Linked DNA regions of Drosophila melanogaster. Changing the gene in region 2 together with the main gene of any one other region gives a genetic interaction. Each region holds a gene or a part of one and is shown on either strand. Other genes may lie near its edges.

Evidence for each region.
Region 1: of Sry-delta (region 2) and bcd, changing one suppresses a phenotype caused by changing the other (phenotypic suppression), as found in Drosophila melanogaster (one study listed by BioGRID).

The regions. Positions count from the first base shown.
Region 1 is NT_033777.3:6,755,042-6,761,409, forward strand, and holds bcd (bicoid), read right to left. Parts: upstream 4,426-6,368; 5' UTR 4,231-4,425; coding exon 4,066-4,230; intron 3,529-4,065; exon of another isoform or gene 3,507-3,528; coding exon 3,431-3,506; intron 3,391-3,430; coding exon 2,432-3,390; intron 1,920-2,431; coding exon 1,635-1,919; 3' UTR 801-1,634; downstream 1-800. UniProt on the Drosophila melanogaster protein: Segment polarity transcription factor that provides positional cues for the development of head and thoracic segments.
Region 2 is NT_033777.3:30,041,463-30,045,471, reverse strand, and holds Sry-delta (serendipity delta), read right to left. Parts: upstream 2,132-4,009; 5' UTR 1,994-2,131; coding exon 692-1,993; 3' UTR 586-691; downstream 1-585. Other genes in the region: RpL32 (ribosomal protein L32), read left to right, coding at 1-159; Sry-alpha (serendipity alpha), read right to left, coding at 2,618-4,009. UniProt on the Drosophila melanogaster protein: Transcriptional activator that controls bicoid gene expression during oogenesis. Found in transcriptionally active cells. Binds to specific sites on polytene chromosomes of third instar larvae. Binds to the consensus DNA sequence 5'-YTAGAGATGGRAA-3'.

The DNA.
Region 1 (6,368 bases), about 23 Mb from region 2:
AAAACATGATCTTTTGAAAAGAAGTGCTAAAACTCTTAATTAACTTGTTTAAGTCTTAAGTTAATATCGCAACCATGTTAATGGGTCACTGTGCACAATTGTGAAAAGTATTTACAATAAAAACCTGAACCAAATTAAAAAGCTTTACAATATCAATAAAAAACTAATTTATGAATACTTTGCGATATCTCGCGATATTTGAAAGATGCATAGATGCTATAAATTATCTTCATAAATGGCGGATTAAAAAGTAGTTTATTAATTATAGTAGTTAAACTAGGTGTGATGAAGGGCACAGGAAAACAAGTCTTGTGATAAGTAAGAATGGATTCAGAGCTTGGTTTTCCCAGGACATCCATAATCCACCTACTAAAACGCGCCCAAGATCAATAAAAACTCTATAACTGGGAGAAACCCAATCAATATTCGTTCATATAGGCCCCGTTATTGGACTTCTGGATTTCCCAAAACTTATATCAAAGAAAATAGGGGCAACAAGTTGCCTGGCGGCGCCCCGCGAGTGCTGCCTGTACAGTGTCTACCTAAATAGTGCGACCGCGCGAGGATCAGGCGATAAGAGTATGGGTTTCAGGTAGGTGAATAAACACAGGCAGCTGGTGCAAATGTTTTATGATCCGCGGGTGTTCGCGGAAAAATCGCGAATCATATTTTATGGCAGGCATGTGTGAGTATGTGCAATAAAGTGCATTTTTAAATTCATAAGATTTTCGGGAAAACCAGATACTGTTTTCGTTCATTCTAGAAAGGGACGGAAATATGGGCTAAGTATGTAGTTATGTGTAGTTAGTCACAATTTACCCGAGTAGAGTAGTTCTTATATATTTTCGTAATTAAAAATACAAAGCTTAAAGAGACAACATCAAAGGTGCAGCATTTTAAAATTAAACTTGAGGCCTAACAGATTGCAATGCTCTTCTTAGTGATGTAAATAGAATGTGAGCTATGATAGTTATTCCGTTTGGCAGCAAAAAATCTCCGAATCTGAAACAAATGGTCTGCATTGATTGAAAATACAATTTGCTGACTATTCTTGGTCAAAGAATGCGCAAATGTTTGATTATGTCAGACACTTTGGCATAGCATAGAAATTGAAAATATCATATCAAATATTATTGTTTAAATGTTCGATCTTTAAGGGTAATCATTGTATGAGATTACGCCCAAGAGAAACATTTTTCATTTTGATTAGTACAGTTTTTAGCTATGTCAAATTGTAACAGAGAAGATTTTCTTGCTGGCTCGGAATATAATTTCCGAAATGTGGGACGATAACTTTCCATGGAATACGCTTAAGCCCAAATGGCCTCAAATGTAACTGGTTGCATATTCCCGGGCTTTAGTGGAGCAGCCACCCAGATACATCTAAGGCGAATAGCGTATTGCAGGGAAAGTATAGAGTTAACTGGAGTATCACTAAGATATGCACTGGAATCCGTGCGGCCTGCTGACTAGGCTAGTACATAAAACTTCCCTGGGAACCATTTACACGGATCTTAGGACTAGACCTAACTTTCTACGCGTAGATATCTACAATCACTTGGTATTTGTACAATCAGGAACAACAGTGGTTAACCTAAAGCTAATGAAACTCTCTAACACGCCTCTCATCCAGGCTAATTGAAGCAGTAGGCAAACTGCGAGTTGCCCGCGGCGTTCCGATGGGGATTATACGCTTGCATTATCGTATCCATCGTGCATTGATATTGGTTCGATTCGCCCATGGCCACGCCCCCCATTCCGAGGGGCGGCTGAGGGCCTTGTGGGGGCGAAGGCTTGCCAAATTTGGCAAATGCCGCTCCACGATTTCCGGTTCCTGCTAAGGCTCTTATTCCGGTGCTCATGTCGTCGCTACTGCCATCGTCGCAGCTCTTGTCCAGACCCTTCAAAGGCTCCAAGATCTAGGGAGAGAGCGAACGCATTTAGAACATAAATAAATTCGATTGAAATTGCTAAATTATTGTTACAATTTATAGCTAAAAATGTTCATCAGCATATGAGTCTGTTTTCACTTTTAAAATGCATAGATCTTATTTTTCTGGTCAAAGAAATGCTATTTTAACTTGCAGTGTATTAAGAGTGATTACATGAATAAAAAAGTAAAAAACCCTGAAAACTAAGGGCTTTCAAACGGTTGAAATCTTAACCTTTGATACAAATTCTATATTAAAATACATCTTTAACACTTGTACTTCCCTTTCAGAAATGCCATGTCTAATTTAGAAAACAAAAACTTAATAAGTTAAATGTTAAATATTGGAGAACTCCCAAATCTCATCGATCGGAAATAGAAGTACTTTCAGAATAACATCTCAAACCAGACAGTTTGAAAGTTACAAAGCTTAAAGCTTCAATTTATAAACGCCACACTCAGAATCAAGAGATCAAAAAAGGTTGTGGACTCATGCCTGACCTGTAGCGTCGTCTTCTTGCTCGTTCCGTCGTCCATGTCGTCGGCCGCCTCCGTCTCGCCAACGGCGATGGCGCAAGGTCCGCCGATGCCGATGCCACACAGACTCGGACTTTCGTCATTCTTGGGTGTTAATGGCTCGTAGACCTCGGAGCCCGGCGAGGCAGCGCCTCGGGCCACAGCGGATGCCGATGCAGTGGCGCCAGACATTCCCGATCGCATGTAGTACGAGCTGTTGAAGTTGTAGTCGGCCTCCGGTTCGTCCTTGACCAGGACGCGACAGGCGCTGGCTTGCTTTTGCTGGAAGTCAAAGTGATGGTATTGCTGCTGCTGAGCCTGCTGTTGCTGCTGCTGCATCTGGTGCGGCACGTGGTTGCCCTGGTGGTGCAGTTGCTGCTGGTGATTATGGACCTGCTGCTGCTGGAAGAACTGGCCGCCATTGACATTGGTCGACCCAGGTCCTGGCCCCCCTCCGGAAGGATACTGCATGTGCATGTGACGATTGGCCTGGGCGTGATTGTGGCCTCCATTGTAGTTGTAGTAGGCGTTGAATGACTCGCTGTAGTGCTCCGTCATGTGTGCAGTGGGCGTTGAGGGCGTGGGTGACGGAGTCAAAGCGTTGGGCGTGGCTCCTCCACCCAAGCTAAGAGTCTGCAAGCTGGGGGGATCGCCATCGCTCTGTTTCATACCCGGCGAGAGAGGCATCCCCTCGTAGGACTGGTCCTTGTGCTGATCCGATTGGATCTTGTGACGACGCCGACGGTTCTTAAACCATATCTTCACCTGGGCTGTGCCCAGGGCTAGTTTCGCTGACAGATCCGCAAGTCGGGGGGCTGTGAGGTATCGTCCCTGCAGAAAGTGCTGCTCCAGCTCTGCTATTTGAGAGCTGGTAAAAGTGGTGCGGGTGCGACGTGGTCGCCGCATCACCAGAGAGTCGGGCAGCTCCTCTGAGGGAAAGACATCTGATAAGACGATGGCTGACTTTGTTGGCTTTGAGCTCACCTGGCTTGGGCATCTGGTTGGGCAGATACGGACGTATGTAGTTGTAGTTTATCGCTCCCGTTCGCTCATCGAAAAGCTTCAAAGAATCAAGGGGTACACTGTCTTTATATAAAAACGTGAAAGGACGATTCGCTTCGGGGACCGAATCTTGCAATATTACTTTCACTAATCATCATGCAGGACAACAATGCTTGTTTTAGAAAATATGTTGTATGAAGTGTATAAAGTCAATAATGTATACCCAGTGGCCATAGATGTGGCTTTTGAAAAATAGACATTACTGATTGTCGGTGTGAGTGCAACAGGTTTAACATTCGTCCATTTCAATGAAACACCTTTTAGAACATTTCGGCAAATCACTAATAACATGATGCCCCACAATTCATATACAATTATATACTATACTAACTGTAACGATTAATAATATCAATTGGTTTTTAGATTCTGCTACGATACTTTAAAAGTCACAAACAAGATAATAGAAGATTTCGCCCTATGTTCTAGAAACACATTTGCTGCGGCTCAATAAATGTTTATGGTCATCAGTGATCGCACTGGTTGTTTGTTCACCATAGGGAATCTGTACTGTAGCTTTCCTGGGACAAGAGCCCTTCTCTGCTGCGATGGGAACTCACCAAATCGAAGGGATTTCGGAATTGTGGCGGCAACTGAAGCTGCGGATGTTGGTGATGTGGGTGCGGATGCGAGTGCGGATGCGGATGGGAGTGCGGATGCGGATGTGTGTGCGTGTGGGGCAGCGGATGATGGTAAAAGTTTTGATCTGGCGGCGGTTGCGCCATTTTCCCCAAACACTCCGCCGCGTTATCTTTACGAATTTCCAAGCGCCGCGCGGAAAAATGGCAAAGGAGTGTGGAAACTTTCTTGTATTTTCAGTAACCGGTTACTTTCGAGACGCTCGCGAACTTATTTCGCCCACATTTTGCGTTTTTGCGATCCACTGCTTCGCATCTGCAGAGTGCCGTTATTTAGGGATGAGCGAAGAGATGTAGAGATGGCACAATTGGCGGCCCTCCCTCGATGTTCATTCTTTTGAGTAATTTAAAAATCAATAAGCGTCTACAATACATTTTAGACAAATATTTGGACATTTTATTTTTAAATGTTTGCCTCTAATTTAAAAGTTTTTAATCGAACAGTACGGCAAAGCTGCAAACCGATTGAGTGCACAGCGTTTTCACCAGGGGGCGTGAAGAGACAGCAGTAGAGAGCCCCCTGTCGGGCTGTATTGAAAGGTTGTGCTCACTGACAAAAGGTGAATGTTCTAAAACGTCGGAGGTTTATTTATTTGTAGAGATTTGCATTTGAGAATAATAATAAAAAAAAGCTTGAATATTGTAACAAATAAGTAGAACCAATTAAACTTAAACTCTTTGCTCTGTTTGGAACTTCATAATATTAACATTTAATTAACAAACAGGCACCCCAAATTTAGGAATCAATTAGACAAGTGTCGAATGTTTAATTTGAATTTTTGTTAATATTATAATATTAATATGCTCCAGTCCAGTCCAGCCTGAATTGAACAAAATGTGCACTTTGTAGTTTATTCTGTTACATACTTCCGCTATTAATAACTACATTATTCAATCTTAGTATCGCGAGATATATAAGGACTTGGGACAAAGAATAAGGATGGTGGAGATCGAGTTTGTTTTTCCAAATGATCTCAAACGGCTACGTACGAAAGAAAATATCATATAATCGTTTTGTAAGACAGCATATAGTGCTTGCTATATGTACCTGTTAGGCAGTGCATTATAAAATGTATTAGAAGAATAAAAGGTAACCAGTTGTCGAGTTAATTAGCTGTAGCGTTCGATTCTTTTGTTAATTTTTTTTAAGTTGTTCTACTCATTTCTGATGTTAAGCTAGGATTGGCAATTATTATTTTCAGGCTCCATATTTGGAAAATTCGATATGTTTAGCGTTGAAGAATATTGTGTAAATATCTACAAGCATTAAGTTGCTCAGTGCATTGGCCCAAGCTTTAACATTTTAAAACACACCCAACGAGCCAGTTGACCTTTAAGCAAGTGTCGCAAGGCCTTAAGTGAAATATTTTTTAATGACATTTGCCAAATAATTGTCGTGTTTGCTTTTGGGATCTGGCAGGAGCTTGTTGCTGTTGGCCGGGCTTTGCTGCTTCTGCCGCTGCCAACTGGCAACAAAAGTCAATTCACAGACACTCCAGTCGACGGAGTCGGAGTGCAGCCAAAAGGCAAACAAAATACGTTCGCATAGGCAAAGCCCAAGGATACACACAAAGGTACAGTGGTTGCTCTGACTACAAATACAAATTAAACAGGGCCAGAGCTTTAATACCAATTCGATACCATTGCAACAACAGCATTTCAAATGCTACTTTTTTATATCAGATAAAGATAGGTAGAAAAGGCTATATTTACGTTAAAGGCAAGCTGATATTTTAGAAATTTATTCAAAAACAAAATTAATTACTTTGACACATAATATTGTATTTAGTCATCTGACTAGAAACTAGAAATCTCTGAATGTAACGAAGTTCTGTGCATTCTTACAAATATTACAAAAAGTATCTGCTAGATACCACTGTGCGGAACTGGGCCACAAATTCAGACGCAGTGTGTGACAAAGGACTTCTCCCTTCCCCGCTCGGCGACCCTGAATGCTGAATGCCCCCGTGTGTGCCGCTGCTGAAGCGAAACACCCAAAGAGTCACTGACAGAAACAGGATTCGGGTAATAAATTACAAAATTTGACATTTTCTGTTTTGGATCCGCTTGCGCCTGAATGCGAGCGGCAGCCCTCTCTGTCGCACGCCGTCTAGCCGTCTCTTTCGTTCGGTTTCGGTGTGTGTCCAGTTCGGTCGGGCCAAGTCGAGCGTTGCATGAAGCAGCCGGACCTGCCAGGACCTGGACCAGGACCTGAACCTGCATCC
Region 2 (4,009 bases):
GAGCTGGAGGTCCTGCTCATGCAGAACCGCGTTTACTGCGGCGAGATCGCCCACGGCGTCTCCTCCAAGAAGCGCAAGGAGATTGTCGAGCGCGCCAAGCAGCTGTCGGTCCGCCTCACCAACCCCAACGGTCGCCTGCGTTCTCAAGAGAACGAGTAAGCTTAAGATTCTTGAGAGTTCTTGTAACGTGGTCGGAATACACATTTGTAAACGTTAATATACCGGACTTTTAGTTAAAAAATGATGTGCGAGTGCCGAGTTCAATTGTCATTTCTGAGATTGGGATAGCAGCACCATTGATAACATGTGCATTATCTGGATGGATATCAGTTAATCCAGACCATTGCGGTCTTTCTTTCTGATAGCAACTGCCTCGAGATATTAGACCAATATAAATTCCTTGACGTGCCAAAACTAGACAGCATCAATCCTTATCAGGGAATTTTGTTATATATTTTACATTTTTCCCCCTTAGTATTGAAAGAGGTTGTTTATATGAAATCATATATATATTCGCAATTATTTTTACAGAACAGTGTACAATTATTATCGGAAATGCTTCTGTCTAAATGAAACGCAGTAATTGAAATACCAGTAAATTATATTTTGTAGGAATCTACAATAATCAAGTACAAAGAGGAGGAAATACACTAGGGAAAGATAAACAATTACTTATTGTAGGCAATGTAGCTTATTTCAAGACCACGTCGTGATCAAATTGCAAGTGGTGTTCGAGCTCCTTCTTGTTCTCGAAGTTGGTATTGCAAATGAGACAGAAGCCGCTGTTCTCATCGTTGTCGGACATGATGACGGTGACGGCCGCCTCCGATTCGTCGACGTCCACATGCAGCTCCTCCACCACCTGCTGCTCGTCGGCGGGCGCCTCCTCGCGAACCCCGTAAACGACGTCGCCCTCGTGGGTCTTCATGTGCATCTTGAGGGTGTAGCGCTCGGTGAAGGACTTGGGGCAGACGGAGCAGTAGTGTCTTGGGCGGTTCTCCTTGTGAATGAGCGTGTGATGGTTGAAGGTCTTGCGCGACTTGAACGACACATTGCAGATGCTGCATATGATGGGGTTCTCCTCAGCCTCGTGGCGCAGCCGGTGGTTGTAGAGTAGGTTGTCCTGGGAGAACCTCAGGCCGCACTTCTCGCACTGGTACTTCTTCTTGTCCCAGTGCATGCGCATGTGGCGCAGGGTGTTCACCGGGCGCGAGAAGCTCTTGGGGCAGTAGCGGCATTGCTTTTCCGTCTTGCCCTCGTGCAGATTCATGTGCAGCTCCAAGTACTCCTCGTCGCGCCGGATCACCCCGCAGATGGGGCAGATGTGGTTGGGCTGCTTGGAGTGCTCCTCGCTGATGTGCTTCTGCAGTTGATACCAGGAGTTGTACACCTTGCCGCAGGTAGTGCACTCCTGCTTGACGCGCTTCTTCGTCGGCCTGTCCTCGCCATCGGAGGACTTGCCATACAGGGCCTCGGAGTCGCCCACATCCACGTCCTCGCAGATGAACTCGTCGTCGTCGTCGTCGTCCTCCTCCTCCTCCTCGTCCACGAACTCTCTCTTTATCTCCGTGTCGGACTCCTCCTGATCCTTGACCAGCTCCACGAACAGGGCGTCCGCCTCGGCATCGGCGTCTGTCTCGACATCGCTTTGGGGTATCTCCACCTCCTCCACGAGTATGTCCTCGCCGGACTCCGGCACCTCGAACTCGGACTTTAGAGCGCCCTTTAGCTGGGTCGTCAGCCTCTTCTGGGTGGTCATCAGGTTCACCATGATCGTGTCGTAGTCGGAGAGCTCCTGAAAGCAGCGCGGGCACAGCCGGGCGCCGGGCTTCAGGTCCAGCTGCGTCTGGATGCAGTTGGCCAGGTGGGTGAGCACCAGGGACACTGTTTTCTGCGACGACGGCACCTTGGCCGACAGCGTCTCGTAGCGCATGGAGCTGGAGGAGCCCGTGTCGCTCAGATCGACGGCGCCGCAGAAGAAGCAAGTATCCATTGCGCCGACGATGGTCCTTTTAGCGATTCCGTTTCGTGCGGCGTTTGTTTACAATCTTTTAAATTGTGTATGAAATTTAATAGAGTTGGCAAAATGATGAATATCGGAAGCTATACTAAAATGCGTGAAATGCAACCATGGCATAATGCCCACCAGGGCTGGCGAACGATGCCGATTGATGCCAGGAACGGAACGGTGGGAATGGAACAGGGTGTGAAAACTGAAATATATGAGTTGAATAATAAAAATATGTGTTTGCTCAATATTGCAAACGGATATTCAATTTGCATAAATACATAATTTGTTGTTGATTATTATGGTGGTGTTGGTTTCTTTAGTTATGAAAACGAGTAGCATTTAATTTATTGATTCCCTGAAAAAATTGAATTGAATTATATAATTTTTTTATAATGGTATGTTTTAATTGTATTTTATATAAATTATGCGAATGGCTTCAACTTAATGAAGTAATTACATAAGTGTAAAGAACACAATTGACTTAGGTAGCTAATTAGAATCTTTGTAAGGATATGTTTAATCTTAATTAAGCACTTCAAGCCAATGAAGTATTAAAAAAAATCTCATACAGATAAGCCCGCGTATTTAGAATATGGCTCGCCCCACTCAATCTAACCTAAGAATCTCAGTGATTTGGAAACTAATAAGATCGCTTTCGCTGTGTCCGGATTCAGCAAGTGAGTCCTGTGGCCCGAAAACTGAGCAATTTCCGGTTTGTTTTACAAAGGATCGATGCCGTTTGCCAAAGGATCGACTGCTCCGCACAAAAGTTCGGGTTGCACTTGAGGGCACTTGAGCTTCGGAAGCAACTGAGGAATCGGGCTCCAGATTATCCCTGCATATCAAGTCCCTCAGCTTGGCCAGCACGGAGTACAGTATCTTAAGGCGCTTCACGATGCGCTTGGGATCCACTGGGACGTCCAGGTTGACCACGGCCTGGCACTCGCGCAGGATCAGAATGAGGTCCTTGTGCACCCGCTTGCCATCTTCACTGAGTCCCGAGTAATTGACGGGCAGCCGAAAGTGATCCACCACCACTCCGCCCCTCTGGACAATCAGCTTCAGATGGCTTTTGTCCTGTACGTGGATCCTCTCGCCCAGCATGTCCAGGTAGTTGTTGATCAGGGAGCAGCTATCGATGATTTCGTGGATGACGTTCCTAAAGATCAGCAGCTCCTGGTTAAAATGCTCCTGCAAGACCTCCGCGTGGTGTGCGGATGAAGTGGACTCTGGCAGCTGGAGAGCGGGCACAATGCACGCATCCAGGGATTCCAGTGAGGCCAGGCAGCTCCTGACAATCGTCTTCGTTTTGATGTCCTGCGAGAAGGCTATGGCCAGAACCCCAATCTGCTGAATGCGATCCATGTTCGTGTCGAATGCGGAGATTAGCTCCTGAGCTCCCGCAGGATCCCTTTGCAGTGCATCCTTTAGCTTCTCCACCGAAGCGTTTTCCAGATCTATCAGACTGACGAACAGCAAGTGCAGCAGCGCCTCATTGAGAAAGGATTCCAGGGCATAGAGGGCACGTTCCAGGGAGAGGGCCTCCAGCTTCCGATGACCACTGTTGGGCTCGCCCGCCTCCTCGTGGAAAGTGGCACATTCGGCGAGCAAGGTCTCGCACAAAGCCGTCAAAGCCTTCTTGTCCGAATGAATGGCCACATTGGCAAAGGCCAGGGCGTGGCGAACGATGTGATTAACTATGCTGGCCAGCTGGTAGGTGTCTTCCGTGAAGCTCTCTTCTAGAATGTGCAGCGAGTTGTTTCTCTGCTGGGCCAGCTTCTCCATGTAGTCATCCAAGTGGTCCAGAGCCAGGTCCATGAGCTCAACGAAGGAGTGATCCTCTAGGTTCTTGACTGGGGTCACGTTGCCTTCCAGTTGCGTCAAGGAGACGAGCAGTCGCCGCAAGCACCAGTCCAAGCGGTCGAGGAAGTGCTGCCTGGTCATATGCGGTGCCTCCATGCTGATGGTCCGCTCTAGGTGGGTGATGCAGGTTACCAC